4 linked regions of the Stegostoma tigrinum genome follow. The protein of the gene in region 1 purifies or fractionates together with the protein of each later gene. This does not show direct contact. Links are inferred from orthologs where the notes say so. Each region holds a gene or a part of one and is shown on either strand. Other genes may lie near its edges. The genes, in order: eif4g1a, eukaryotic translation initiation factor 3 subunit J, MAP kinase-interacting serine/threonine-protein kinase 1-like and eif4ba.

What was found.
Region 2: the proteins of eif4g1a (region 1) and eukaryotic translation initiation factor 3 subunit J purify together in Homo sapiens (affinity purification with western blotting; 3 studies listed by BioGRID and IntAct, with this or other methods). This does not show direct contact. The link is inferred for Stegostoma tigrinum from reciprocal best matches to the Homo sapiens genes EIF4G1 and EIF3J.
Region 3: the proteins of eif4g1a (region 1) and MAP kinase-interacting serine/threonine-protein kinase 1-like purify together in Homo sapiens (affinity purification with western blotting; 3 studies listed by BioGRID and IntAct, with this or other methods). This does not show direct contact. The link is inferred for Stegostoma tigrinum from reciprocal best matches to the Homo sapiens genes EIF4G1 and MKNK1.
Region 4: the proteins of eif4g1a (region 1) and eif4ba fractionate together in Homo sapiens (co-fractionation; 4 studies listed by BioGRID, with this or other methods). This does not show direct contact. The link is inferred for Stegostoma tigrinum from reciprocal best matches to the Homo sapiens genes EIF4G1 and EIF4B.

Annotation. Positions count from the first base shown.
Region 1 is NC_081367.1:44,939,525-44,947,406, reverse strand, and holds the start of eif4g1a (eukaryotic translation initiation factor 4 gamma 1a), read left to right. Parts: upstream 1-4,877; 5' UTR 4,878-4,960; intron 4,961-5,098; 5' UTR 5,099-5,162; intron 5,163-7,882.
Region 2 is NC_081386.1:33,455,679-33,463,402, forward strand, and holds the start of eukaryotic translation initiation factor 3 subunit J, read right to left. Parts: upstream 3,010-7,724; 5' UTR 2,966-3,009; coding exon 2,944-2,965; intron 2,813-2,943; coding exon 2,727-2,812; intron 1-2,726. UniProt on the Homo sapiens protein: Component of the eukaryotic translation initiation factor 3 (eIF-3) complex, which is required for several steps in the initiation of protein synthesis.
Region 3 is NC_081361.1:75,885,520-75,893,374, forward strand, and holds the start of MAP kinase-interacting serine/threonine-protein kinase 1-like, read right to left. Parts: upstream 3,014-7,855; 5' UTR 2,939-3,013; intron 2,420-2,938; exon of another isoform or gene 2,130-2,419; intron 1-2,129. UniProt on the Homo sapiens protein: May play a role in the response to environmental stress and cytokines. Appears to regulate translation by phosphorylating EIF4E, thus increasing the affinity of this protein for the 7-methylguanosine-containing mRNA cap.
Region 4 is NC_081404.1:13,476,476-13,484,444, reverse strand, and holds the start of eif4ba (eukaryotic translation initiation factor 4Ba), read left to right. Parts: upstream 1-4,960; 5' UTR 4,961-5,124; coding exon 5,125-5,137; intron 5,138-7,969. UniProt on the Homo sapiens protein: Required for the binding of mRNA to ribosomes. Functions in close association with EIF4-F and EIF4-A. Binds near the 5'-terminal cap of mRNA in presence of EIF-4F and ATP.

The sequences.
Region 1 (7,882 bases):
GTCTTTAGAATTTTTTATGCCATGATTTTCTGTATGTTAACTTGGCCTCTGATGAAGGGTCTAGGCCAGAAACATCAGCCTTTGTGCTCCTGAGATGCTGCTTGGCCTGCTGTGTTCATCCAGCTCCACACTTGGTTAGCTTACAATTCAATTTGCTCTCTGAGTATTTTGGGATACGTACTGATAGTTTGGAAATCAGGACAAACAGTACTTCGTAGCATGCTGGTACTTGTAAAGTTCCCTTGACATCAAAACATTTCAAAACCCCTGACATTGCGAGTAACTATCAGGAAGCTATTTCATTGTGAATAGCATCAAAATTTAGCATAATATTGGTGTATCACCATATGTACTTTAGGGTTGGTCATTGGAAAGGGAAAAGGTACCCTATGTTGGGGTGCCAGCTGCAGCTAATTGTGAATACTTTTACACAACCTGTTCAGAGATGTTCTTATGTACCACTGTAGCAAGTGGGCACTTGAAACAAAGCCTCTTGGTTCAGGGGCAGGATACTACCACTGCACCACAACAGCCCCTGCCGTCAGTGTGTAAAGCCCTCTATCATTGTGACCTGTTGAAATGATATAATTCAGCAGAGAGTGGCCATTGCATTTTAGTCTTTCTTTTCCTGTAAGTTTGAGATACTTGTTTATTATATTTGCTTAGTCCCTGAGGATTCTGAATATGTTGAAAGAGGAATGTTGAAAAAATGCTTGCTGACAGAAATATCAATCAAAATAAACTTCTTTTTCCCTCTGTCACCATATTACAGTAGAAAAGTGAAAGACTGAATTGTTTTGGGTTAAAAATGCATTCTACACAGTTAATACAATTTTATGTTATTAAAATCATTTCTGTAGAAGCATAGCCAAAATATCAAAACTAAAATGTGCCATGACTGGCTTTTTAAATGACAATTTGTCTGCATAATTATGAAATAGATCTGAACCCACTTTTGACAGTGAACCCAAAAACAACAAAATCAATTTGGGCTGAGGAGTAGCAAATTGAGTTTAATTTGGAAAAATTTGAGGTATTGCACTTTGGAAAAACAAATAAGGGCAGGACTTATACAATTAAAAGTCGGGGCTTGGATTGTGTTGTAGAACAATGAGAACCAGGGCTTCAGGCACCTTGGTTCTCTGAAGTTTGTGTCACATGTGGACAGGCTGGTTAAGAAGATGTTTAGCATGCTTGCCTTTATTACTCAGAAGTTTGAGTATAGGGGTTGGGATGTCACATTGAGGTTGTACAGAACATTGGTGGAGCCTCTTTTGGAGTACTGTGTCCAGTACTGTTGCCCTATTATCGGGAAGATATTATTAAGCTGGAGATGGTTCAGAAAATATCTACCAGGATGTTACCAAGAATGGAGGGTAAGAGTTATGAGGAGAGGCTGGGACATCTTTCATTCGAGTGTAGGAAGCGAGGTATACTGAGTCTAGCACTGGAACGGTGAGTCCTGGAGTGGAGGTGAGGCCTTTGGGAAATGGAAGCAAGATCTCGAGGTTTGAAGCTCAGCGTGATCTGGAGACTTCGCCTGGGCAGGCTGAAGGTTGGGTGCTTGGTGGAAAGACTACAATTTGAGTACTTTATAAACGAAAACATTCTTATTCTTGTGCTGCACTTTTATATATGATTCTTTCATGTCTTTAACGCGTACTTAAGAATTCTGTCCCTAGGTACTCTGTACCTAAAATGGCACCAAAAGAGTTGACATTACAAACTTTTCACTTCATTCATCTGAGTGCACATGACAATAAAGGCTGACTCAATTCAATTCACCTTACAGAGGTTTATAAAATCAAGAAGGGTATATAGATAAGGTGAAGGCAGGTGTCTTTTCCCAAGGGTTGTATATTTCAATACTGGGGAACATATTTTTAAGGTGAGAGGAAAACAATTTTAAAAAAGACATGAGGGGCCACTTTTTCACACAGAGAGTGGTTCATGTGTGGAATGAACTTCCACAGGAACTAATGAATGCGGGTACAGTTAGTGTTTAAAATACAATTGGATAAGTAAGTGAACAACAAATATTTGGAAGGATATGGGCCAAGCACGGGCAGGTAGGTATAGTTTATTTGGGATTTGGGTTGGCATGGAATGTTTGGACTGAAGAGTCTCTTTCCATGGTGTATGACTGCATGACTTTATGGTCTTTTAGATCCTAAATGTCCCAAGCATTTCACAGGAGCATCATAACACTTGGTAAATCAGTCCTCTGTGGAGGTAGTTATTTCATTTCACGACATGCTGATAAAGCTTCTACTTAACAGAGACTCACACCTTGTATGAAATCTCAAGTGTTTTATAGCCAATGAAATTTTAAGTGTCACCAATGTTGTAATGTAGCAAATACAGCATTTAAGATACAACAAGATTCAAATATCAAAATTATAATGACCAGTTAAACTGCTTTTAGAAATGATGTTAGTTGAGGAAAGAACGTTGGCTGAGAATGGGGAAATCTCACATGATCTTTCTTCAAATAATAGCACGAAATCTGTACCATCCACCAGAGAGTTGAGTTGAGGCTTAAGTTTAACACCTCAACTTGAAGGTGGCACGTCCAACAATTAAAAATGCCTCACTGCTTCACTAGAGAACAGATCTAAGTTTTGTGCTGTAGGTTTTGGAGTAAGACCTGAACTCAGAGCCTTCACGTGGAAGTACCACCAACTGAGGCTCAATTGACATTTAAGTGAATCTTATTTTATTGTAATGACATCAGAATGACAAGTTACATCACAAAGCTGCCGGAATTGCTTTTTCTGTCCTACAAAATTATCCAAATTCATCTTTTTAGTTGAAAAAGTCTTGCAATTTTATAAAGTAGAACATACCCTAGGGGCTGCAGTATGGTATGATAAATACACTTGTTCACAAGTCTGATCACAACCCACTCATAAATATTATTCCATACACCTCACTCGTGAAGATATTCATCATGACACAGATGGATGTATCATATGATCCTTTTATATTTCTTTGCAGAAAATTACAGTACTCAGAATGTAGGAATTGGGATATGTTGATACAGGCTGCACCAAAATGTATTTAATAATGTTCATTCCTTCTTACTTAAAACATACCTGAGCATATTACATAAATAACAATTGTTTATAATTATTAACTTTTTAAAATTTAAACTATGAAGGCAGTTGAGTGACTTTATGATGTCATGAGAAAGCTGCTGACATCAGATTGGTACATTGTGACATAATTAAAAATATTTTCACTTTGGATAAGGAAACTTGTAAATAATGTAAATATGTAAATACTCCCCATTTGTTTAATGAGACTAAATTCTTGTTAAGAACAAGCAATTCCTCTTATCAGAAAGACCTTTTCAGTTCCAATGTACAGACTGTGATGGAAAAGAGTGAGAATACCTAGTTACTAACTAATCTATATATGTGTTGTAGCTTTTAACACATTATTCTGATGTACTCTGAAGATTTCTCCAGTGTCATTTAGGAGCAGTACAACCTGATATATCATTTTTGGGTTTAATCAATTACAGTGCAAGGGTGAATTCTGCGAACAATTCCTGATACAAATAAGTCTTTCTTGCCATGCTGAACTTGCTCTATGCAGAAATTGACTTCTGCACACTGTGAATAAAGACAGTAGCTACTCAGTATAATGCCCTGATATAATACATTGATTATGATCCCTTCACTAAGAGACTGAATATAACCATGTTATAATGTCTTTATAACTTGCTCTTTGCTTGTTTGATACCATTGAATGGCTCATAGTGGCTATATTGTATCATGGATAAGAGATAATGGGAACTGCAGATGCTGGTGATGGGTATAGGCCCGAAACGTCAGCTTTTGTGCTCCTGAGATGCTGCTTGGCCTGCTGTGTTCATCCAGCTTCATACTTTGTTATATTGTATCATGCATGCTTTGCTACAAAGGTTGCTGAGTTGCATATGGAACAGTGTTGGGAAATATTATTGATGCATTTTGCAAGATAATTGTAAGGCACTCTGTGTGGGGTGGGGCCTGTCATGCACCCTTACCTTCATGTACTGTTTTACACAAGTGTATGTGAACTTGGAAATTCTCATAACATGTTCTCAACTTAGTCTTTCATTTGGATCAGGACAGGTTGGGACTATTTCCTACCCATGGAGAAAAAGGGAAACAAATTGTGTAAGATATCTCCTCTGACTCTGTAATAATTTGACTTCCCACTCTGTCAGCCCACAAGCTATAGAGATTGTTTAAATTATTTTTTTTAAACAGAATTTGTATTAGCTCTGGTGAATTGTTAACTAGATTGAAAAACGCTGTCTGACCAGCTGTGATCTCCAGCAGATTTTTTTTGCATTAGCAGTTATATTTTCATATCATGCCCTTTAGATGTTTCTGAAATTTATGTTAATACTTGTCTATATCAGATTATTTGATATCACTTTGTTCGAGTCTGTGGGCTCAGAGATTCTACAATGAGCAAATTTCTACATGGCATTAGGGTGCTCAACTGAGTTTCCCTGACCTGTCTACTGGATTGTATGCGAGTTGGCTCTTCATGTTGCTTTACATAAACGTAAACTTTTACATAACGCAACTACTGTTTGTTTTTTTTCTTGTGGGGAGTGGTGTGCCGTCAGTATCTACACCTCCAAGTAATTCATTGAATATGAAGTACAGTTCCGGACATTTCTCGAAGAAATAGGATAATTTGCTCGCCACAAAACTGTTAAATTTCGGGGAGGGGCGGGGTTTGGGGGCAGGCAAGGAAACACCAGCCGGGTGGTGCGTGCATGCTTTGGAACTGTGGAAGAGAATGTGTTATTGCAACAATATTAAACCTAAGTGCTTGTGATTTAGGAGTGAATCGCGGCTGCCCTCTCCCTGGCGGTGTCACGTGTCCTTTCCGGAACCCTAGAGGCGGAAATCTCCGAAAGTAGCCGATCGTCCGGCTGTGCGGACTGAGGACGAAGGTACGCCATTACTGGGCCGCTTTTTATTATCCGTCTCCATCCTCGGCATGGAGACTGCAAGCAGTCACTGCTGACTGGCCCGGTGGCTGTCCTGCCTTCTGTGCTTCGGCCTGATTGTTTTATTTTTCTGATTCACAGGACAGAAGAAGGGAGGAAAGAAAAAAAACACTTACACCTTGAGGAGGAGCCCAGTCCTTCCCGGGTAAGGGGTGGCCTGACGTGTTTCTGCTGACACCCAGGGCTGGGGCTGCAGGAAAGGGGAGGGAAGGTGAAGGAACGGCTATATAGAGAGAGAGAGGGAGAGAAACCCCTCTCTCTAACTGGGGGGGCAGGCAACAGCGGCCTCAGCATATTCCTCCCCATCATCTCCACCTCCCGATTCCTGGGAATATCGAGTCGCTTTCAAGCCCGCGGCCGGCGCCACTCGGTTGGGGTTGGGGTTGGGGTTGGGGTGAAGGCCATAGCCTTTTAGCCCCACCACTCCCTAAAGCCCGGGTTGAGTGGCAGCCAGGCCCCAGTCTCTCTCCTCTCCCTCCCCCCCCATACTGGTTTTCCCCGGCTTCTGGAAAAAGACGGGGAGAGAGCAGGCCGTCCAGCCTGAGCCACCCCTCTCTCCCTCTGCAGCCAAGGGAGAGGAGGCCCCAGCCTACAAGAGTCTCATGTCATTTTGAAGTTTTTAGTGGGAGAGGTGAGGGACTGGCTAAAACCAAAGTCTGGGTTTTAACTTCTGTTTCTCGGTTGTGCTTGCTTTTGGTAGTAAGGCCCTTGACCATATGGAAGCTACGTCGCTGCCCTGGGGTGGAATGTAACCCCCGCCCCAGGCTCAGAGTGTCGTGGGTGGGGGGTGGGGGAGTTGGGGAAGACACCGGCCGGGCTTTGACTCTAGCTGTATATTGTATATATTAGTATTTGCATTAATATTTCTGCCGCGCGTGTGTAGGGTGTTAGCGCGTTTGTAGCCTGAGTCTGAAATGACACGTTTGTGCTGGAGGGGGAGGAGGGAAAAAGCCGGTAAAAGAGGAACCATGTGCGGCTGTTGGTTGGTCTCCGAGGCATAGCGCAAGCGAGTGAGTCACTGTCACCTCCCCACACGGTTGAGTGCTGCCGGCTCTTACTGCACAAACATCATCGCACTCCGCTGTTGCAAACTCTTCCTTAATCTTTAACTATATATAGATATTCACTCAACACTGAGGAAAGATCGCCATGTGACCATTTAAAAAAAAAGTGAGGGCTCGGATTTTTTCAAAAACGGAAGTGCATTGAAGTTTTAACCATCTTTGGGAATTACGTTTAATAAGTAGTAGCAACTTTGAAGGATGGCGTAATGGGAAAGTGTTGGAACAGATTTATTTAATTTTAAAGCTACTAACATGAAGGATACGAATAGCAAGTTTTAGAAAGTGCTGAGTCAATTCCTGTTTATAGCCCCCGATGTCTGCTTTCAGTTTGAAGACCCGATCCTTATGTTTTCGAGGAAAAGGATTGCTTTTTGGGGGTGGGGCAAGTGTGGGTAGATAGAGATAATGCATTGCAACGTTCAATTATCATTCGAGATTAAACTTACTTTTGAAACACATAGTAAGAAAGTTTATTGACTGAAATGCCCGATTGCTGCTAGCGAAACGTGTAAAAATCATTGAGCGTTTAGTTGTATTTATGAAATTGTGTTGTGAATTAATACCCAAGTTTCTCACTAAATGGTGAGGGCAAGTACTTTAGATATTTGAAATCTGCCCTTCACCACTGTAAATACTAATAATTTCTCATCTGATTTGACCCTGCCACTGAAAAAGTCTGTGTTAATTCAAGTACAAAAACACTTAGTTATCAAGTTATAAGGGGGCATATCATCAATACGATATGGGTTTTGGATTGACTGTAAGTTTGAAATGAATGCTGTGACATTTGATTTGATGTGGATGTTATGCAAAATATGGAGATGTAAAGCAGTTTGCATACATGAAAAATTAAATGATTTGAGAATGTGTGGCAAATATCAATGCATATACAAAGATCACAATAGTCACATTTCATATGACATTTTCACATGGACTCTGCTGCTCCCTGGCAGTGGGTGTGGTTTTGGTGTTCATTACAGTTTGTGCGTTTTCTCTCTGCACTGCAGTAACAGGCTGTAAGGTTTAATAATCGTCTCGTAGTGTATACATGAGAGAACGTTGTGTGTCTGGTAGAAGAAATGAGACTTCTTAATACTGATATCACAGTGTTGCCTCAGGTGTCTTCTGTTTTTTATCAGTTGTGTGCAGTCTGAGATTTTTGGAAGTGGCAATAGCCATTGGAATTGAGTCTAAATTAAAATGCACTTGACACTTGCATTTATTATGGCCTTCTATTTTGGTAAAGAACTTGCCTGAATTGATCTGTTGTCTAATTTTGTTTGGAATTAGTGTCAAATATTCACCACTGAAATAATCCAAATATATAGGTCTCCTGCATCATACCAAAGAACTTCATGCCAGGTTTCAAGTAGGCAAATTTAGATAACTCAAAATAATGCGCTACATATTTGAACAGTAGAAATAAAAGTGAGTTTAAACATTACAGCTGTTAGCAGTTCTGTTCGTCTAGTAATATATCTATCTTTTTTCCAAAAAGTGAAACAAGTTTGAAATGAGCTACCTGGTAAACAACTTGACTTACAGCAGGTCAGGCTGCATCCATGGAGAGAAAGCAGGCTAACATTTTGAGTTTCGATGACTCTTCATCAGCTCTGATGAAGAGTCAGCTAGACTTGAAATGTTAGCTTGCCTTCTGTCCATGGATGCTGCCTGACCTGCCGAGATCGCCAGCATTTTTTTGTTTTTGTTCAGATTCCATCATCTGCAGTAATTTGCTCTTAAACAACTTGATTAGTTGGTTAGCTTTACAGCGTTTTAATTGAAGTCTACATAATCACCT
Region 2 (7,724 bases), on another chromosome or scaffold:
TGCCATTATACTAGATTTATTGTGGGCAGTCTCTCTCCTGCATTGAGTAAATCTGGAATTTCAGTGATCATTTCATATTTCTCTCTTACAGACACTATATAGTATTCACGCTCAACAGCACCACACTATTAGAAAAACTTCAACGATAAACTTACTAAATTTAGCCTAATCCTTGCTCGTTTTAGAACATTCTATACACTCAGGAAAGTTTCCCGCAACTATAAATTCCCTTGCTTTCTGACATGGGTTAGACTCTACCCAAGTTTGGGTTCCCATTTATGCACTCCAGCATATCTAAAGCTAAGAAAAGCTAAAAACTTATCTAATTTCTGCATTTGTACAACACACTGTTCCATTATCATAGGGATAATACACAATTCCTCCTAGTCTTTAAAGCCTTCCCTTATTTCTTAATTCAAAAGAAAAGTCTCCACTGATTACTTACGTTATTGGAATATTTATGAATTTTTTGAAGTAATTTCATCCTTAATAAGTAAGGCTACTCCTCACAAACATTAGCTGTTCCTCTTTTGCTGACCTGTTAGATTTAGTTCCCAGCTCTAACCATCTCAGTTATAGCCTAAATCTCATACGTGCAAGGTTGAATTTATTCTAATTTGGATTTGTGTAAAGCAAGCTTATTTATGCCATATTTATCCTTATCTTTCCTTCATCTCCAATATTTTATTGATTTCATGTTTCTTTTCTGGATTAAGTACACTACAGCTTTTAAATGTAACGTTTTAACATCACATTACCATACTGTTCACTTCTTTCAAAACTTCTTAGTAACATTACTAGTTGAGAACACTTACTTGTTTAATGTAAGGTGTGTGATTTATGTATGCATTAGTAGTATTTATTTTAGAGCCTGGATTTTTAGCTACTGGCATGTGGTTTTGGACAGTGTATGTGAAGGGGTTTAATAATTAACATGTCATTCTTACTAGTTTTAAAAAGTCATGGCTCCAGTATGAGAGGGGGAACCCCTGGGTGATAACGGAAATTTGTTTGCATTGGGAGTTTTATACGCACAGTAAACACTGAGGACCATTAGCTTCCTTCCAATTTAGAAATCTTCGGACTACATTGATTGCTATGGGGGTAAAAAGTGTGGAAATCTTTTGTCTTTGATGCAACACGGTTACCAGGTAATAAAAATAAAGTGCTAGAGAAACTCAGCTGGTCTGACAGCATTTTTGGAGAGAAAAATGGAAGCAAAGGACTGTACTGGATTCAAAAAGGCAACTGTTTCTCTCTACTGATGCTGACACACTCAACAAGTTTTCCAAGCACTTTCTGTTTCAACTTCAGATAGCCAGCATCCACAGGATGTTCCTTTCATTTGACAGTTACCACATGCACCAGAAGATCAATATGCTTTCACATCACTGGGACTGGATTTGCCACCATGCAGTGCATAACATGAATTGTTATACAATACACTGTACCCCCCCCCGCCCAATAAACAGGTAAAACACATGAATACACTGGAAAGCAGCTGAAAAAATCCTGATGTCAAGCATGTGTAGCTCAGTGCCTGAATAGCTAACCACTATGTAAATGGAGTTTGACACCCTTGACGCTAGAATTAAGCAGTGCCAGCCTTTGTAATGGTGGGAGTAATGTGTTTTCTGTATAACCTTTTGGAATTAATGTGGGAAGTAAAACGATACAATGGCAATGTTTTCGAACATATAAATAAAACATGCACTTGGGTTGAAGTTAGTTTTTTAAAAAATTACATTACTTTGCTCTTTCTCTGCTATAATTCCAGAGGATAGAGAAATCTGAGACTCCTAAACTAGACAAAACTACGTTTCCACTCAAATTTGACCCCTATAAAACAACACAGTGACTAATTATTGTCTGTAAGCACAATGGAAGAGCTTCTCTGTTGCTACGTTGTTAACTTAATTATCAAAAGGTAGAGAGTAGGTTTACATCAATACCAGTGGAAGAACAGAAAAGCCAAGCAGATGGGACCACAACCATTCAACACACACATGGTTTACCATGACAAAAAGGTTACATCTCTGAAGTCCAGCAAACAAACACGAGAAGATTGATACCCTCGAAAGGACCAATAAATGACTGGAAATTACACTCCATCACTCCATCAAAAAGGGCAAAAACTGACACTAAGCCACCTTTAAACAACTGCCCAAAAATTTGTTCAAATTACTGATTTTAAGAAGCACATTAAAACAGGAGAAAGAATAGAAAGGCTGTGAAGTTTAATTTGGATTTAGGCAACTGAAAGCACAGCTGGCAGCAGTGGGCAAAACCTCGGAGGATGGACCAAATAATGGAATTAGAGGAACAAACAGCATTCAGAGTTAAACGTTACATACATCGGGAAGAAGTGAATCTATCCCAGGTTTTGAACCGGAGGATTGGAATTTATTTTGCAGGTGTTGAAGAGTGCCAACTTCAGGCTCCACGAACATAGGGTGAATAACCAAGGAAACAGAATATGTAACAGGTGGTATTAAGCATGGCTCTACCACTCACCCCATCAGCATGAACCATGTGGGAGCAACGGTGACGCCCCGACTCCCATCAGAAATTAAACATGAACCTACATTTGTGTAGCACCTTTAGCATAATAAGAGACAGACTCGGCCACGACAAACGGTCGGCGGCGGGATAGGTTGCCTGGGCCCAGGACTGCTGCTGACCAGGGTCCCAAGCTGGCTCAGGCCCAGGTCTAGTGTTTTCTTTACCTTCACATCCTCCTCCTCGTCCTCGCCTTCCCATCTGTCCACGATCACGGGCTTGCTCACCGGCCCCTGCGTCTGGAAATCGTCGTCTGCGAAGAAAATTGAAGTTGGTTATTAGTCTGGAGAGTGAAATAGGCAAAATAGAGGAATGAAGGAGAAAGAAAAGTCAGAAGGAACCTCTCAGCGCCATTAAACCCGACACACAAAAAGCCGCGCTCACCCCAGCTGTCCGAGTCCGCCATGTCTGCCTGCCCGCCCGCTCGCTCGCTCCGTCACACTGAGGAACTGTGGGATACTGGAGGACTAGACATTGTGGGATACTGAAGTTCGACCTGGGAGGACTAGGAGTCTGCCCACCCAGTACTTGCGCTACCCTAGACTTTCGGCGACAGCAGTTTCCAGAGGAAGGCACTCTTATATATCATACTGAAGGGAGAGTGAAGCAGCCAAGGATGACAAGGGAAGGCACAAAACTGTACAACGTGGTAAAGATTAGTGGAACACCTTTAAAAACTAGCCAGCAGTAATTAAAATACATTGGGGTGGGGTAGGATATGAATTTTATCTCAGTTATCTAAAAGGTAAGAGAGGCAAAGAGTGGACATTAGACTGCTGGAAGTGAGGTTGGAGAAGTGGTAATGAGGAACAAAGAAATGGCAGAGGAACCGAAGAGAAAATTTACATCAGTTTTCACTGTGGCAAACACCAGCAAGAGAGCATAACTTCAAGAGTCAATGGACATCATTAAGAAGCTGGGGATGCTCAAAGGTCTGAAGGCAGATAAATCATGTGGGCCAGATGGACTACACCCCAGAATTCTGAAGGTGATTGTGAGAGGAGGCATTGGTGGTGATCTTCCAGAAATCACTGCAGCCAGCGAGGGTCCCAGAAGACTTGAAAATGGTTAATGAAACAACCCCTGTTTAGGAATAGAGGCAGAAGACAGGAAGTTATAGACCAGAGATAATGGGAACTGCAGATGCTAGAGAATCTGAGATAACAAAGTGTGGAGTTGGATGAACATAGCAGGCCTAGCAGCACAAAAGCTGACATTTTGGGCCTAGACCCTTCATCAGAAAAGGGGGATGGGGAGAGGGTTCTGAAATAAATAGGGAGAGAGGGGAGGCAGACCGAAGACGGATAGAGGAGAAGATAGGTGGAGAGGAGAGTATAGGTGGGGAGGTGATAGGTCAGTCCGGGGAGAACGGACAGGTCAAGGGGTCCGGGATGAGGTTAGTAGGTAGGAAATAGAGGTATGGCTTGAGGTGGGAGGAGGTGATACGTGAGAGGAAGAACAGGTCAGGCAGACAGGGATGAGCTGGGCTGGTTTTGGGATGCAATGGGGGGAGGGGAGATTTTGAAGCTGGTGAAATCCACATTGATACCATTGGGCCGCAGGGTTCCCAAGCGGAATATGAGTTGCTGTCCTCCAACCTTCGGGTGGCATCATTGTGGCACTGCAGGAGGCCCAGGATGGACATGTCATCTAAAGAATGGGAGGGGGAGTTGAAATGGTTTGCGACTGGGAGGTGCAGTTGTTTATTGCGAACCGAGCATAGGTGTTCTGTAAAACAGTCCCCAAGCCTCCGCTTGGTTTCCCCACTGTAGAAGAAGCCACGGCGGATGCACTATACCACATTGGCAGATGTGCAAGTGAACAAGGTGTGGGGGCAAGTGTAGCATTTTCTGCGGTTGCAGGGGAAGGTGCCGGGTGTGGTGGGGTTGGACGGGAGTGTGGAGCTGAGAAGGGAGTTGCGGAGAGAGTGGTCTCTCCGGAAGGCAGACAAGGGTGGGGTCGGATTGTAGTTGGCAGATGATGCGTTTTGTCCAGAGGTTGGTGGGGTGGTATGAGAGGACTGGGGGATTCTCTTTTGGCGGTTATTGCAGGGGCGGGGTGTGAAGGATGAGGTGCGGCAAACGCGGGAGACACGGTCGAGGGCGCTGTCGACCACTGCAGGGGGGAAGTTGCAGTCCTTGAAGAATGAGGACATCTGGGATGTACGGGAGTAGAATGCCTCATCCTGGGAGCAGATGCGGCAGAGGCAAAGGAATTGGGAATAGGGGATGGAATTTTTGCAGGAATGTGGGTGGGAGGTGTATTCCAGGTAGCTGTGGGAGTTGGTGGGCTTGAAATGGACATCGGTTTGTAGGTGGTAGCCTGAGATGGAGACAGTAAGGTCCAGGAAGGTGAGGGATGTGTTGGAGATGGTCCAGGTGAACTTGAGGTTGAGGTGAAAGGTGTTGGTTAAGTGGATGAACTGTTTGAGCTCCTCTTGGGAGCATGAGGCGGTGCCGATACCCTACCTCCCCACCTATACTCTTCTCTCCACCTATTTTCTCCTCTATCCATCTTCGGTCCACCTCCCCCTCGCTCCCTATTTATTTCAGAATCCTCTTCCCATCCCCCTTTTCTGATGAAGGGTCTTGCCCCGCAACGTCAGCTTTTGTGCTCCTAAGATGCTGCTTGGCCTGCTGTGTTCATCCAGCTTCACAAGTTATAGACCAGGTAGCCTGGTCTCGGTTGCTGGTAATATTTTAGAGTCCATTATTAAAAATAAGATTGCACAGGATTTGGAAGTGCGTGGTTAAATAGACAAAGGAGAGCCAGTGGATGTGATGTAATTGGATTTCCAGAAGGCTGCTAAATAAGAGTCCATGGTATTAACAGCAAGATACTTGCATAGTTGGAGGACTGGCTGACTACCAGAAGGCAGAGATGAAAGGGTTTTCTTTTCGGGCCAGCAGCCTGAGGCTAGTAGTGCAAGTCCACAGGAATTGGTGTTGGGACCACACTATTCATGTTATACATTAACAATCTGGACAAAGGAACTGAGGGCATTGTTGCTAAGTTTTGAAATGGTACAAAGATAGGTGTAGGGGAAAGCAATGTTGAAGTAGGAAGGCTGCAGAAGGCCTTGGACAGAGTTGGAGAGTGGGCAGAGAAGTGGAAGAGGGAATACAGTGTGTGAAATTGTGAGCTTGTGCACTTTGGTAGGAAGAATAGAAATGGAGACTATCTTCTTAATGGAGAGATGCTTCAGAAATGTGAAGCACAAAGGGACTTTGGAGTCGTAGTTCAGCATTCCCTATGGTTAACGTGCAGGTTGAGTTGACAGTTAGGAAGGCAAATGCAATGTTACCATTCATTTCGAGAGGATGAGAATACAAGAGTAGAGATGTACTAGAGATTTTCTGAAGAAGGGTCTTGACCCAAAACGTCAGCTTTCCTGCTGTGTTCATCCAGCTCTACACCATGTTATCTCTAGTAAAGATGTACTGCTGATGCTGTATGAGGCTCTGGTCAGACTGCATTTGGAATATTATGAACAGTTTTGGGCTCAATATCTAAGGAAGAATGTATTAGCATTGGAGGGCGATCAGAGAAAGTTCATAAGGATGAACCCGGGATGACGGCCTTGTCCTATGAAGAGTGGTTGAGGACTCTGGGTCTGTACTCAGGTTTAGAAGGATGAGGGGGTAATTTGATTGAACCTTACAGAATATTGAAAGCCTAGATAGAGTGGACGTGTGTGTGGAGAAGATGTTTCCAATAGTAGGACAGACTAGAACCCGTGGACACAGCCTCAGAGTGAAGCGACGACCCTTCAGAACTGAGGAGAGAAGGAATTGCTTCAGCTCGGGGGTGGTGAATCTGGAACTCATTGCCACTGACACCTATGACGGCCAAGTCATTGAGTATATCTAAGGCAGAGAGGGACAGATTCTTGATCAGTACCGGGATCAAGGGTTACGAGAGGCAGGAAAAAAAGGTTTGAGAAACATATCAGCATGATCAAATGGTGAAGCAGACTTGATGGGCCATGTGGCCTAATTCTGCGCCAATATCTGATGGTCTTTATCTTTTTAAACTTTAAAGTAATTTATGCTTTTCCATTTCTTCCAGAAGCATTTTGTAAATTAAACTGAGCATTATCTAAAATCATGTTTATACGGAGAACTTTCACAAGTAAACAACCTTCCTTTGTACAGTGCCTTTAACAAATTGAAATGTTACACAGGAATAATAATCAAATAACAAATTACACAAAAAGGACATCAAACCAACATCTTTTAGTAATAACACCAGAAAGTGATGGAGAAACTTAGCAGGTCCAGCAGCATCTATAGAGAGAGAAAGCAGGTCAGTGGGACTCATCAGAATGTTCAGAACCAGGGTCAATAGACTTGAAAGGTTAATTCTACTTTCTCTCCACAGATGCTGCCAGACCTGTTGGATTTTTCCAGCACTTTCAATTTTTATTTCAGATTTCCAGCATCCACAGGATTTTGTTTTTATTTAAGTTGACTTTAAGGAAGATCTTAAAGGAGTAGAGAAACAGAGGGGAGGTTAGGGAGAGAATTCCACAGCAGTCAACAATGGAGCGATTAAATTAGGAACATTAAAGACTGAAACCTATGTCGAAAGACACAGCACGTTGTACACTTGAGGTATAATATATCTTCAGCCCGTATATATCTACTGACAAAACTTAAGTTCCTGAAGACAATCCTACCATGGTGGAGTTTGAATTAAAATAAAAGCCAGGCTAATGTCACTATTGCTGATTGTTGTAAAAGTCACTGGGTTCACTAACATCCTTTAGGGAAATATCCTTCCTCGGTCTGGCCTGCACATGATGCCAGATTCCCCCAGCAGTATGGTTGACTCTTAACTGCTCTCTGGACAATTGAGAATGTGCAATAAATGCTGGCCTAGCCAATACTGCCCACAATCCATGAAAGAATATGGAAAAAAACCATTACTTATAGCTGTGCGTCACAGGAACATGAACGAACAGGCAGGCAGAGAAATTCTGCGTAGTAGTACCATATCACACCAAGCAATGGACAAAACTGCCTTCCAACCAGATGGACTTGAGTTCATAAAAAGTCATATTGAACTATTATACTTTCGGAGCATACCCCATAATCAGAGACAAAAAACTCAGGAGACAGGCAGTATTCAGGCAAGTGGAAGATGTTTATTCAAGCAGAAACCAG
Region 3 (7,855 bases), on another chromosome or scaffold:
TCGGAGGGTTGGCGTGGACTTGTTGGGGCAAATGGCCTGTTTTCATATTGTAGGGATTCTATGATAAATAAAACTCAGGTAATCCTTCCTCTTGTGTTCAATTCCTCTCATAATTAAGGAGATCAGTCTTTTTCATTATGTGCTTTATCTGTATACTAACTTTTTTTTTACTTGTACTAGAATACTTAAGCCCTGTGCACCTCAGGTTCTGTGGTTCTCTATTTAAGTGATGCTCTGCTTCTTTTATTCCTCCTTCACATTTTCCTGCATCATGCTCCATCTGCTGGATTTTTTGCCCATTCAGTCTGCATCCATCTGCAAACTCCTTACTACTGATGGAATCCCAACAGTGTGGAAGCAAGCCATTTGGCTCATCAAGTCCACATTGATCTTCCAAAGAACATCCCATTCAGACCACCTGATTTCCAATGGCAAATCCGTGGACACTACAGGCAATTTAGCAAAGCCAACCCACTCAATGTTCACATCTTTGGCCTGTGGAAGGAAACTGAATCATACAGAGGAAAACTACATGGACAGCATGTGCAACCTCCACACAGACAGTTGCCCAGATCCCTAGGGCTGCAAGGGAGCGGTGCCAACCACTGAGCCACCGTCACTGCCATCCCTGCTGCCTAAATACCTCTCCACCTACCTTTGCATAGTCAGCAAATTTAGTTGCCATGCCATCATGCCAACCCGTCCCCCACAATTCTCTGCCACTGATGTAAATTGTAAAAATTTCAAGGCCCAGCACAGTCATCTCGCTAATGCAACTGCAGCAAGGTGAGCGGCAGTGCAGAAGCCAGAGACAGTGGTTCAGATCAAAACAACAACTCTTATCCTCGAAAATCCACCAGAAGTATCCCTGTGAAAAATATGCTTTACCTCACATGGGGAGCCACAAAACATCACTTAAGAAATAACAAAGTCTAGAGCTGGATGAACACAGCAGGCCAAGCAGCTCCGAAGATGCGGCTTGGCCTGCTGTGTTCATCCTGCTCTATACTTTGTTATCTCGGATTCTCCAGCATCTGCAATTACTATTATCGCTTAAGAAATGTTGGTAACAGCCAAGTTTGCAAATCCTAATTCTGAAAGAAAACGGAACTTGCACACTGGATTTCTAAGTAAAAATCCCCAAGGCATGCTGACAGTTCCGGAGGCCATCTGTTGAGTGTGTGATGGTATTGAGGGGGAAAACGAACCCATTAGAAATTGTTCTTAAGCAAATCATCATCATTCCCGTGTACACTTAAATGTATTTTTTCACATCTTTAACTGGTATCCTATGATTCGATTAATGATGAAAAATAACGACAAATTCGGTTTAATTAGACACGTTTGGACACATCAGGCAAGATACACTTCTTTAGCATGAATACACAATTCGTATAAAGTTAGTTTAGCGTGCTAGTCTCAAGCCGTATGCACCTACGGAATTTAAATTCAGCGTTAATCAGAGGTCAGTGCTAAGCCTGATTCTGCAATGATATGGCGTTATAGTCCGCGGTGCACAGCATAAATTCGTTGTTGTCAAAAGCGCTCAACACACTGGACAAATTTTAAACCAGTTTGTTTAAACATTTGAACAATAACTTTCAATTTCTCCCTCTCCCCTCAACCACATAACTGTGTACCCGTGCAGACACCGTGTTTTATTTCTCAAATGGAGAGCATGAAGAGTTGCAAGTAAAGCTTACGTTTATTTGCCCGGCCGAAACTAGAACTACACCTAACAATCATGTTGCAGTATAAACACATGTTGAATATTCCTGAATTTTGCACCCCGACTACGTCGGAGATTGTTTATGATATTTTATCGCCCTTGGAATCTGCCACTTTTTCATCTACACAACTTTTCGCTAGGGTAAATGTTGATTGTGCCATAATAATGTTTAATATTTAGTAAATCCAATACAAAGGTGCCAGATCTTAAACCGTTCCTGTTTTGCAAACATGCCAGTTAGCAGTGTTAATGTCCTCGAAACATTATTTACAAACAACTTTGACAATTTACCCAGCGAGTACGACAGTAAATTTCACACGAATTGGAGTTCATCAGCACATCCAGCAATGAGCCGAAATGGGTTTCAAATAAACGCAATTTAAACCACGATAATACATACCTGGAAAATGAGATTGCAGTCGCTTTGTTACAAACAGCCTCCGCAAATAAAATTACAAAAGCTACATTCAGAGTTTGTGTGTTGAGGTGACAACTTTGATGAGGAAACACCAGTCCCACCGCAGTCACTGAATGGTGAAACTGTCCCGGTAAGTTGCATCATGCAAGATGAGTTACAATGAACTAAAACTGGAGGACTTCCTCGCCCAGATCGATCCGAAATTTTAACTGATTCCTCTCCTGCAACGTTCCCTCCGGATAGTATCACTTTTTAAGGTCGGTGCATTTGTTCTTTTACAAATAAAAACAGAACAATTGGGAGCAGTAATATAGCAGCTCAGCCCGTGGTGAGAAGATGGGACTTTATTTCCATTGTGATTGGGGAGGGGCGGGATGTATTTGCAAATCAGATGGGAGCACGATGGTGGTAAATGCTCACCATTGATCTGGTCTATAGCTATCTGATCGTAAACTGAAAACTCCTCCCTCAAGGGAAACCTGGTCTCTCTGCTATTTTTAACTGGACGGAGTCATAAGTTTGAGTCTCCATACAGGCGGGGGACGGGGGAAGAACAAAACTCAACTACAAATAAATCACACAGCTCGACATAATTTAGCACAGAGAGTATAAGAACTTCTGACAATGTCATCCCAAGCCGTGTCCATTCTGTGTCACTCAGAGACAAAGTGGCCGAGAAACCGGCGGCTAGGGCCTGTCCCCCGGTCTCCCCATCTCACTCACACTCACACACAATAAAAACCTACGTCCTCCCATCTAACGGTAAGAGTCAAACTCCACTCAGTCTTTACCTTGCAACTCCGGCCGTAAGGTCCTTCCGCCATTTTCCTTCCTCCTGGCCGCTACTGGCTTGTCGAAATTCCCGGAGCTGAGGGTGTTGTCGAGGCACCTCCCGGCCACCGTCCCACCGCCCTCTTGGGAAGGGAATTGACTGCTCGTGGGTGCCATCTTATTAAAGGTAAAGGATTCCGTGCGTGGAACATTAGCTCCGTCTTACCACAGAAGCTGCCAGACTTGCTGAGTTTCACCAGCAATTTCTGTTTCTGTAACAGAGCATCTGTAGTGATTGATTAAAGGATTATGGACCTACTGCCCCATATACTCTGTTCAATGTGCTCATCACTCCTTTGCTACTCAGCTGTGTCTTCACCTTCATTATACTTACTCAGGTTAGTTGATCTGATAATGTCTGAAAACAGGAAATATTTCCCACACCAGATGTGAAAATAAAGCGTATAGATCTCCTACGGAGCCATAACTGCCATTTAAGTAGTCACAGGTTAAGACAGGAATTGGAGATCCAATACATCCATTTCTAGGTATTACTTTTTAAAACATTTTTTTCATTTAGGATCATTAAAGATCATAATTTTTTCTCCAATATTGAATGTTCTGCATCACTTAACAGTGGCAAAACAAACCGTGATCAAGAATTAGCAATATTTAATCTTGTCAGTTTAAGAAATTATTTTCTGAGATTTATTATGTATTTTAAATGTTGAACAATAAAACATAGGATAGGTTACAAAATCCAGAACATTGTTTTCTCTATAGTTAACACTTAAATTTCCTGAAAGCAATGTTTTGAATTATGGTCATGAATTGTTTTTCTTCACAGATACAGCCAAGCCCGGTATTTCCAGCATTTTCAGCTTTCAATTGCTGAAACATTAATAGGCGGAGATGTTGGTTAATGAAAATTAGTATTTATCTGCTTAGCTCACAAAGTATCATAAAGCACTGTTACAAACATCTCCTTTAAATGCATGATATAAATCTTATCCTCCTGCCAGTCTGGGTCTAGAGGGTGTGCGCTATTGGGAGAGGCTGAATAGGTTGGGGCTTTTGTCCCTGGAGCATCAGAGACTGAATGGTGACCTTATAGAGGTTTATGGATAGAGTGAAGAGCCAACATGTTTTTCAAAGAACAAAGAATAATACAGCACAGGGACACACCCTTTGGCCCTCCAAACCTGTGCTGACACATTTTGCCCTCCATACTAAAATTGTCCTCACTTACAGGAGCCGTATCCTTCTATTCCCTTCCTATTCATGTATTTGCCTAGGTGCTTCTTGAATGCTGCTAATGTGTCTGCTTTCACCACCTCCCCTGGCAGCGCATTCCAGGAACTCAGTACCCTTCGTGTGGAAAAACTTGTCTCACACATCTCTTTTAAACATTGCCCCACCCCCACCCGCATCTTGAACCTGTGTCCTTAGTAATTGACCCCTGCACCCTGGGAAAAAGCCTCATACTTTCCACTCTATCCTTGGGTGGAGCATTCCAAAACCAGAGGGCATAGGTTTAATGTGAGAGGGGAGGGATTTAAAACGTACATCAGGGATAATTTTTTAATGTGGAGGGTGGTAAGTGTATGGAATGAGCTGTGAAAGGAAGTCATGGAGGTTGGTATAATTACAACATTTAAAAGACATCTAGATGGGTATGTGAATAGGAAGGATATAGAGGAATATGGGCCAAATGCGATTAGGTCAGGTTGAGATGTCTGGTTAGCGTGGACGAGTTGGACCGATGGTTTGTTTCCATGGTGTACGACTCTATGATTCTATTTAATCTTTTGCTAGAGATTATGGGAAGGTGCTGGCCTAATGGCATTAATGTTTTGACTGTTATTCTAGACACCCAACTAATGTTTTGGGGAGATAACAAAGTGTAGAGCTGGATGAACACATTAGGCCATGCAGCATCAAAGGAGCAGGAAGGCTGACGTTTTGGGCCGAGATCCAGGTTCAAATCTCACCGTGACAGATGGTGGAATTTAAATGCAATAAAAATTGGGAAGTAAGAGTCTAATGATGATCATGAATTTATTGCTGAATGTTGAGAAAAACCCATCTGGTTTACAAATGTCCCTTAGGGAAGGAAACTACCATCCTCACCCAATCTGGCCTACACGTGACTCCAGACCCACAGCAATGTGGTTGATTCTTAACTGCCTTTTGGGCAATTAGGGATGGAGAATAAATGCTGGCCTAGCAAGTGATGTCCTCATCTAATGAACAAATTTAAGAAAAGAGGAAGTTCTGTCCTTCGCCTAAATTTCATAGTTTTGAAAAACTATATGCTGAATCTTACTTAACAAGATGTAGAGCTGGATGAACACAGCAGGCCAAGCAGCATCATTGGAGCAGGAGCTCTACGCCTTGTTATCTCAGATTCTTCAGCATCTACAGTTCCTACTATCTTGGCTAAATCTTGCAGTTTTTTTGACTAAGTGTGAGTTGTGTCGAAGTTTTTGGAGGGACTCTCGCTGGAGGCCTATGTATATTTCACAACTCACCTCATTAACTACTTAACAACTACTTCGCCCTACTGCAACCCTCTTGTCTAATTCTGTCCACATTTTAACACAGCTCACCGCTTATTAGATGCTCACTGATGAACTAGCAGCTTTATACCCACACTATCATTTAAAAGCCCATTGTGCACCTTGGACAAGCACTGTCAGTCATCAGCTGTAGATCACATCCCTGACGTTTTCCCTGTACCTGCCAAACAAGGAAATTGGCACCACTGCTTTGCAGATAGGAACTGAAAGTGTGGCTGAAAAGGGCAGTGCAGTCAGGGAATGGCCTCTTGCCCAGGAACAGCGCTGGGAGCCACAAAACCAGACCACACTAGTCCGGTCACCTGGGTTATTGGAGTTTCAACCATCTGAAGGAATGTCCAATAGTGTAGGAAGAAAGTTAGTGACCTTCTCCATTCCACCAGTGTATGTGCCACCATCACTCTGATATCTCACACTAACTCTGCTATTGTACTCAGGTCCTACAGAAGCCCACACACTATCGCATTTTCCCCACTTGCGCTCACTCACCTCAACACCTCTAACCCTGCCTACTCACTCACCCAGGAAACTTCCATCTGCATCAGTTATATCATACACTTTTCATTCCTGTAAAACCTGCCTCTTTCTCATTACAGGTGGAAAACGGTGCACCGTAGGGCAGAAATGAAAGTTGGGTGGTTGTTTGCCCCTATATGAAGAAGAACCTTACTCTGATCACCCTGAGCATCTGATTTACTGTGCAGGGCCCCTCTGACTGCAGTCTACCTATGTCAGCTTGAGTGAGGACTGCTGACTACCATGACAAACTTCCTGGCTTTGTAAACAGCAAGGCCCCAAGACAGAAGTAATCTCAGGCTGGTAGGTCTGGCTGAGGGGAAATGTTCAAAAAAGGCAAAGCATTGCAAGGCGGGGATATTGCATGCATTCAGGTAGGCTCAGAGTAAGTAAGCACTTAACAGTAAGCAAAGAACCTGGAGATGCAGCCAGATCTGGTCCATGAGCTTGATGTGTATTCCTGAGCACCAAGTGTCTTCACTGCAGCTTTACAATAATAGTTGTTGCTGCAACCCAAAGTGCATTATTGAATTGAACAAGCGTACTATATTGTGGGGTGCAGATACACCATTAGTATTCTTAGGAGCTGGTACATATTTGATGCGTGTGTGTGTGGATGCGCGTAGACGGTATGCCATGACCACCAGCAGCAAGAACACTGCAAAGTCCCTGCATTAGCAAGCACTTGTTTTCACCACCCCCCACCCCGCCACATGACTTCATGAGACAGGTGCCAAAGAATTCAGTTGCATGATTAATGAAGATCAGAAGATTGCATGAGAGAAATAAAAAAATCGCCATGCTTCACAGTGCACTGGGCGCCATGAATCTTGCTCGAAAAAGCACTGTCCAAAAAAAATTGAAAATTCAGTCCACATTTTTAAGCATTTCTGTTCAAATTGGTAGAAAACCAATAACTTAGTAATTTTAATTCATAATAGCTCTATTTAAAACAAAGAGAATAATAAAGCCCAAAAGCAAAAAAATATTAAAAGTGCAATGCACAAGTAGGAAAAACATAATAAGAATGTCTACAATAGCTTAAGTATTGTTATGACCAGTGAATTTTTTATTTAGTCATTTCACAAACCAAGTTCCTTATAATGTCCTACAAATTCTATCCATTTCCAGCTCAGTATATGTTCTTGTAAAAAAATAATTCACAATCACTCCTGTTCACTCATTTTCAGAAGATGATCCTTGCAGTTTCAATTTCCTGATTCCAGTACCATGGCTATCAAAAGCAACACTTCTGGAAAACTCTCAGACGTCATCTTGTTTATATAAATGTAGAAAATTATTTCAGAAATTTCCATCAATTAAAAAACCTATGCAAAACAATATTCTGTACACAAGAACATTAAAATATAAATCATATGAAACCTCATCAGTTTAATGTTCAGGAATTTAATGGAAAAATGACTGTTTCGAAATGCATTAATTCAACATGCTTGATTTTAAAATGGATCATGTCAGTTCTTCAAATCAAAGAAAATAACCTACATAAAATCGATGAATTTTTAAACGTTTAGTTTGAAAGTAATATTGAGGCTAAAGTAATGGGATTAAAACAAATTTTTGGAGAAATTTAGCATGTCTGGCAACGTCTGTATAGACAGAAACAGCTTAAACGTTTTGAGTGTAATATGATTCTTAATACTTTGTTCTGATTAAGTAATTTTAGACTTGAAATGTGAATACTATTTCTCTCTTCATAGATGCTGCAGTCCTGCTGAGTTTCTCCAGCATTTTAGTTGTATTTTAGCTTCCCAGCATCTGCATTATTTTGCTTTTACTAAGTTAATAGGATGATCATAATGCCTCAGTAATTTCATATAGCAA
Region 4 (7,969 bases), on another chromosome or scaffold:
AGCACAATTTAACCCATTGTATGTTTGTACACTAATCACAACAAGTCATTTCAAGGCTAAAGCGTTTGAGAGACATCAGCGACAAATACGGGATTTGAAGAAGGGGACTTCACCAAAGGTTTACTTGGAAGAACACACACCCCTCCCCGTCTATAGTTAGACTATAGAATAGACATTGTTATGGGGATGAACATATCAGCCGTTTCGTGCACAGCATGGTTCTATAAATAGTTAAATGACCAGTTCATCTGCTTTCCTTGATCGTTGACTCGAATACCTGGAAAACTGCTTAACTCTTCTTAAAAATGCGCTAGAAGACCACCTGAAGTATTTGGAGTAGTCAAGCAGTATCTTGGTTTAAGATAACAAAGTGTGGAGCTGGATGAACACAGCAGGCCAAGCAGCATCGCAGGAGCACAAAGGCTGACGTTTTGGGCCTAGACCCTTCGTCAGAGAGCCCTCTCTGATGAAGGGTCTAGGCCCGAAACGGCAGCCTTTGAGCTCCTGAGATGCTGCTTGGCCTGCTGTGTTCATCCAGCTCCACATTTCATTATCTTGGATTCTCCAGCATCTGCAGTTCCCATTATCACTGATACAGTATCTTGGTTTAATTTGTTTTTCCTCCACTATGGGACCTCTGACAATGAGGCAGATACTACACTATTAAGAGATCTGCAAAAATGTAAAATAGAGGTACAGCTGCCTGCTAGCAAAATGCTGGACACCTGGTGTACTCCTGTTTCTATTTTTCTTATCTGTCTGGGACAGAGCCAATTTAAAACATCTTTTACTAAAAAGTTGTTTATGGATACTAAATGATGAAAACCCTCTTTAGATGTTCAAGATGCTCAGCTGGGAGAGTTAAGTCAATGAGTGAAAGTCTACTCTGACCACAGCTTTGCAGTTTTACATGTTACAAAGGCACCTCTTGCGGGTGCTAAATTAAAGAGAAAATTCCGCTCTGCAATCTCTTCAATTTGAGCTGATACAAGGGCGATGTCAAGACCATTAATTTGGGGCCTTCAGTAATTGCTTTTATTTCAAGTTACGCGATGAACACTTTCCACTTCCTAACAGCTGACATTCACCTCGATTAAGGAGTCAACTGCAGCAGAATTTAATGGCACTGTTACATATGCTGGCTCACTTTTCATATTCCATAATTTTTCAGTGAATTGTAGCCTCTTAGTACAAGAAGAATGGGTGTAACCAGTATAGTTGCATAGAATGTTTGTTCCCTTTGATCTCTCCAAGAGGAGCCATAACAACAGTATTACTGGCATTAATCTACTGTATTAAGACTTATTATCCTGCTTGTTATTATGAATGTTATTGTCAATGTTTCTATGAGTGGGGTGATTCATTCACTTTGCTTTGTTAGGTCATGCAATTTGATGGACTCTAAGAGTGTGCTTAACACACTGAATAGTAGCAAACTGTGAACAAAAACAAAGTTGCTGGAAAAGCTCAGCAGAACTGAGGAAGGGTCACCGGACCCAAAACGTTAACTGTTTTCTCCTTCACAGATGTTGTCAGACCTGCTGAACTTTTCCAGCAACTTTGTTTTTGTTCCTGATTTACAGCATCCACAGTTATTTTGGTTTTTTTTTTAAATGTAGCAAACTGTGTATCTGAACCACAAATTGAATATTAGGGAGGCAAAATCAATCGGAAAATTAGAAAAATCAGAATAAATTCAGCTAAATCTGACGAGTATCAATTAGAAACACATTTCTGTCAGTTCTTACCTAGCTTGCAGATGAGCCATAATTTTGTCCAACTGAATATTGAGAACAACAGCCTTCGGCTGCTTTCTCTGGAAGCTTTTAGAAGGCTTTGATAGAATAGTCAGAGAAAATATTTCATTTATTAAGGAGTCCAAAATAAAGGCCATAAACAGTCAACATTAAATCCAATAGGGAATTCGGGAGGAACTACTTTACCCAGAGAGTAGTTAGAGTGTGGAACTCCCTATCACAAGGACTTGTTGAGGTAAATAGCACTGACATATTTAAGGAGAAATACACAAGAAAGAGAGCATCAGAAGGATATGTTGATTACATGAGGCTTTTGTGGAACATATTTAGCAATAGTGACCAGTAGAGATAAATTGCCTGTTTCAATGCTGTAACTTCTGTGTAATGTCAAATCCTTGGCTTTCATTTTGATCCACAGCTGAGTGTAAACCCTATATCTTATGCATTATCAAGATCATTTATTTCCAAACCCACAACATTGCTAATCTATGTACCTTACTCCACCTTCAACTACAGGGACCTACACTTATGCCTCCATCAATAGACTTGACTATTTCACATCTTTTGTATTGCCACTTGACTACAATAAATTCCAAATCACCCAAACTCCACAGTCCGCAACTGAATGTGCTTGCTGGTCTACACTGGCTCACCATCAATGAACAGATCAACTCATCCTCTTCTGCAAATCTTTCACGATCTCATTCCTCACCCAACCTCTGCAACCTTCTTGAGCTTTCCATCCCCTCTGGCAAAGTTTGATTTTCTGACTCAGGCTTCCTAAGATTTTCTCCCTCCTTCCACTTCACCATGAGTGGCAGAACCTTCAGTTGTCTTGGCTCATTGTATGGAACGCTCTTCTCAAACCCATCTTCCTTTCCTTCATTCATCTCCATTTTTAAAAGCCTCCCTCAAAACTATAGTCTGAGCCAAGGTTTTGATGTGTCTTTGTGAAATGCCTCGGTTCAACGATTTCAAAAATATTTTACTGGGATGCTGGCAATACCGGCAGGGCTGCATTCATTTCCTACATTCTGGCCGCTCCAAGAAGATGTGGCTAGCACTTCTACTTCAATCACTGCAGTTTTTGTGGTGATGGAACTTCTACAATTGTATTAGATAGGGAATTCTCAGATCTTGGCCAAGTGATAAAGGCAAAAATGATGTCAGCATTAATACAGCAGGTAGTACTGTCTTGTTTCTGAAGGTCATGAATTCAAGCCTTATTCCAAAATATAAGCACATAATCTCAGCCACCACTCCAGTGCAGTACTGGGGAAACACTGTGTTGTCAATGGTCCCATTATTCAAATGATACTTCTGCCCTCTCAAGTGAATGCAAAAGATCCCCTGGAATTATCCAGACTGCAGCTGTGGGAGTGGGGAGCGGGGAGCAGGGAGCTGGGAGCAGGGTGGGGGGGGGGGGGGTGCTCCTTGCGACACCAGCCAATAATTAGCTCTCAATCAACAAAACTAAAACAGATTATTGGATTTTTTCTCTCATTGATGGCACAGACCCTGCCTAGCAGTTTGGCTTTGATGTTTTTATGCTTTAAAATATGACTACACTTGAAAAATTACTTCATTGGCTGTAAAGAGGCTCTGAGATCATGAAAGGCATTATATAAATGCAAATCTTTCTCCCATTATTCTATAGTTAAATAAGGATGGTGTATGACTTGCAGGTAAACCTCGAGGTAATGGTGATGCCATAACACTGCTGTCCTTGTCCTTTGTGTTAGAAGTCACAGAGCGGGAGCTGCTGTGGAGGTCACCTTGGTGTATCGTTAAAGTTCATCTTATACATTGTGGATGTTGCAGCCAAGGCACACCAGTGACCAAGAAGTAGATATCAAGTCCAGCATAGAGGGTACCAATGAAGTGAGCCACTTTTCTATATTAAAGGTGCTTTATATGTGCAAGTTGTTATATAACTGAAAGGAAAATAATCATTTTCCGATCCCTACTCATAATATAACTTACTGATCTGGAGGAAAAGAGTGTAAACTTTGAAAATAAGTTTCTAAAAATGAATATTCAGGTTGGTAGCAGTTGGCAAGGCTATTATTTATTGTTCATTCCCAGCTGTCCTAATAAATTGTTGATGATGGCTTTCTTCTTCAAATGCTACCTTTTGTAGCAATTTATTGCAACTGAGCATCTTGACTGCCACTCGGAGGGCATTTAATACAGTGATGTGGAACTAGAATCACATGTAGGCCCAGACTAGATAAGGACGGAAGATGTGGTTGATCTCTATCAGTTGCAACTCTTTACGCTGGAAGAAAGCAATTTTTTTAAGGTGCTGGACAGAAGAAAATAACCCGATTAAAACTTGGAAATGATGACTATTGGTCCAATTTATTTTGTACACTTGAGAAAGGAACTGCACTATGAACAATGCATTATTTCCCAGTTTTGCAGTTTTTTTCCCCTCCCAATTTGGGAACACAGTGATACAGAATTCGTGCTCTCGACTTAACCATAGTGCAGTGTGAAGGGTAAATTAACGAAGAAAAAGGATTGTGCCTGGAATGTTAGTTTTCCATCCTCATCAGCAGGAAGAAAGCAGGAATAAAAACAGCAATATGTTTGCAAGTTTTATTGGTTTTTCCTTTTGGAATATAGCAAAGATCTATCGATCTCAGACTCAAAATTTTGCGGTTGTATCTACCATTCTTTTAGGGAGAAAGTTCCACACTTTTACCCAGCCTATGTGTGAAGTGTATGCTGATCTTCTCTCTTGAATGACCTGTGACTCTAATTTTAAACTTAGCGTTAAAAGCTTATTAATTATAACTCTTAGACTTTTAACACCATCCCCCACTCTCCAAAGGATAAAGGCCAAGGTTTCGGTCTTGCCAGTGCTTTTAATTAAAGGAAATTTTGACTTATCAGCGATGTTCGTTAGGTTTCACAATGAACAGTGGAGGAATCACAAGAGGTGGTTGCGCTAGATTACCTGTTGGGATTTGTGGCTGTGGGAAAATTGGTATTAAATCGTAGATCTAAAGATTGACAGATTATTTATCATGTGCAAACTGTCTAATAGAAAAGTAAACAAAAAGAAACTTTCTGTTGGTGCTAGAAAGCTATTTTTATTTTTGAAACCTGGAAATGCTGACTAGATTTTTGTTTGTTCACAAATAACCCACTGTGTTTCCATTCTTTTCAGGTTCTAAAGTGATCTTATATCAAAACGGTCATTTTGCAACATGTTTTCGAAAAACACTGAAAAAAAAGTTGACCGCCTGCGCTTTATTTAAACCAAACAATCGCGAACCACAAGATTTACCTTCCAACTGCCAAGAAGTTTAGGTGTCACGTGAGATCGACATCCGGGTTCTGTCAGTGGTCATTCTCCAACATGGCGTCTTCAGGTGAGTAGCTGCGGGTGTCGCGCGGGGCTGGGTAAAAGGGACGAAAATGCGTTCAACTTGTGGCTTTTTTCCCCGCCCCCTTCACTTATTTGCGTTGGAAAGCGGGGTGACCGGACGTCGCGTTGGGCGGTTGGGAGGCCCGTGGCGTGTCGGGGGCAAATAAACGCGGGGCGAACGGCTGCCGAATGGGTTGCGGTACGTTGTGGTGCGTGTGCGAGTGAGCGAGCGGTAACCCGGGGCTTCGGCCTTCGCTGCAAGTTGGCCGCCCCAGACACGGCGCGCATGCGCGCAACGGATGGGTCAGGCCATATGCAATCAACTTCAGCTTCTCAAAAAATGCTTCCACCCCCTTTGGACCGGTATCTTACCGTGCGGCCCTAACTGTCACGCTGCGTACGCGTGTGTTGGAACTTCTGCGAGTCCTAGCGGCATCATTTGTAATCGCCCATTTTGTGAAAATGCTATCTACACATTCTAAATTCTGTAGAGGCCGAAACTTGAATCGCACTGTTTGGTTTGCAAACCTGTGGGTTGCGGCTGATTTCCCGATGAGCTTTCCTGCCCAGATTCGGAGCCACCATCTTACGTTCCGAGTCTGTTCCCATGCCTCCATCACAGTCAAGACCAGTTTGGTCCCTGTTTGCCACGATGCTTCCGCAACTACTGATCTGCTCAGTTATGCCTTATCTTCAACTATGTTATCCTATTCCCTGTAAAACCCTGATGCACTCTTTGCCTTAGTCATCATTCTCCTGGCATGCTTTGCCACCCCCATTTTCACTCCTAATTTTAAGTGGGCAGAGAATTGAATGAGGTTTAAAGGGTTAAATTAAGGCAATGAGTTGGCTTGTAATGATTTGGAGTATAGTATAAGGTACTTAAAATGTTAAAGGGACTCAGTAACATAGGTGCAGAGAAACAATCCCTTCTGGTGATCGAGGGTGAAGGGACATGGTCATCTTAAAATTAGAGCCAGTCATCTGGGCAATCAAAGACTTTTTCACACCCACAACTGGAATTCTTCTCCCAGAGGAACTTTGAAAGATGGAATACATGCTGCTTTCAAAACTCAATTTATTTTTAAAATATTCATAGAGCTCCTACAGTGTAGAAGGAAGCCATTGGGCCCATTTTGTTTGCACTGACCCTCCAAAGATCATCCCACCCAGACCTAGCCTTCCACCATATCCTGTAACCCCGCATTTACCATGGCTAATTCAACTAACTTACACACTCCTGAACACTATGGGTATGACCAGTCTATCTAACCTACTCAGTTTTAGATTGTGGGAGGAAACCAGAGCCCTGGGGAGGGGGGTAACCCACACAGACGCCGGAAGAACTTGCAAATTTCTCATAGTTGCCTGAAGCTGGAAGTTGGGGTGTTGGGCACAGAGTATGAGGTATGGATCTTTACCGTTTTAAGTAGATGATGGTAGCAGGCTTAAAGATTCAATGCTTTTCTGTTCCTATCCATATGTTGCACAGCTAGTTGATGTTGAGCCATTTATTACTAGCTCTAGCTGTACCATATTGAGTATTATTGGCCTCTGTTCTCTTCTTCCAAAGCTCTCTGTATTCCATGGTCATCCTTGGTTTCTCTTCATTACCAATTGTCACCTTCATCCTTGTTCTTTATCTCTGTGCACTCACTCTCACTGTTCTCCCCACCTCCTCCAAAAAACAATAGTTTCACTAACTGGAGTTGCGAGGACGACTTGATTGCATATTCACAATCTTTGCAGCTAACTGTCTCTCTGGCATTACCCCCTTTTCTCTTGACTGCCCATATGAGGTGTTTTCTCCTGCCCTTGTCATGAGCTTGCATGTTTCTTTATTTTCTATCCTAATCTCATAGCCCTTCGAGATCCAGCTCTTGCTCACTGGACCCTATTGCTCCTAAACTACTTAGAGCCCAGCTTTTCTTGTAAAGAGTTTTCTCTGTTTGAGCACCATCCCTCTTCCTGCCAAATCTTCCGTTATCACATTTTATGCCAGATCGTTGAAATAGCTTTAAGCAAAGGCATCCTGTGACTTTGTTTACTGTTCTTCATCTTTCACAACATCTCTGCTGTGTTTAATAGGCTTGGAAAAAAGTTCTACATGAGAGTAGAGATAATGGGTATGTATTAAACCTGATTGGTATTGGGCCTAAAATGATAGGTCCAGGTTGTACAGAAGATTAAAATGAGGTGTTTATAATTAATGACTTGATCAGGCAGATAGAAACTATTGTCTTTCGTAGGAGAGTCCAAGACAAGGGCTAGGTTCTTAAGGAGTGGAGTCTGCAAGCATTTTTCACAAAAGGTAGTGAAAATCTGAAGCTGTCCTTCAAGAAGCTAAATTGAAAATCCTAAAACTACAGTTGATTATTTTTGTTAGGTCAGGGTGTAAAGAGTTATAGAACTAAGGAGGGTAGATGGGGTTAAGATTCAAACTAACGGTGATCTATCTGGCAGGATGAATTTGTGGAATTGAATGCAGTACTCTTGATACCATTGTTCCTCTGACCTATTCAATCGTAGCCAGAGAATCTTCTGTATTATCTCTGTTTCCTGCTCCCACGCTATTATCTTTGGACTCTCCTAAGAATATGTCCATGGCCGCCACCTATTTCAAAGCTATAAATTGCCTCTCAGCAACATCATTGAAGACGTTATGTCAGGCTTCTCCCTTGTGTGGACGCTACCTTGTTCCACTTCATAACTATCTGTCTCAACCTCTCCATTGCCTTAGATTGCTTGTTCTGTTTGAATTAGTTTCCTCCACTTTAGACCAAAGGCATTACCTTCGGCCTCTGCCGGAATATTCATTCCTGCACTGTTGATTTTC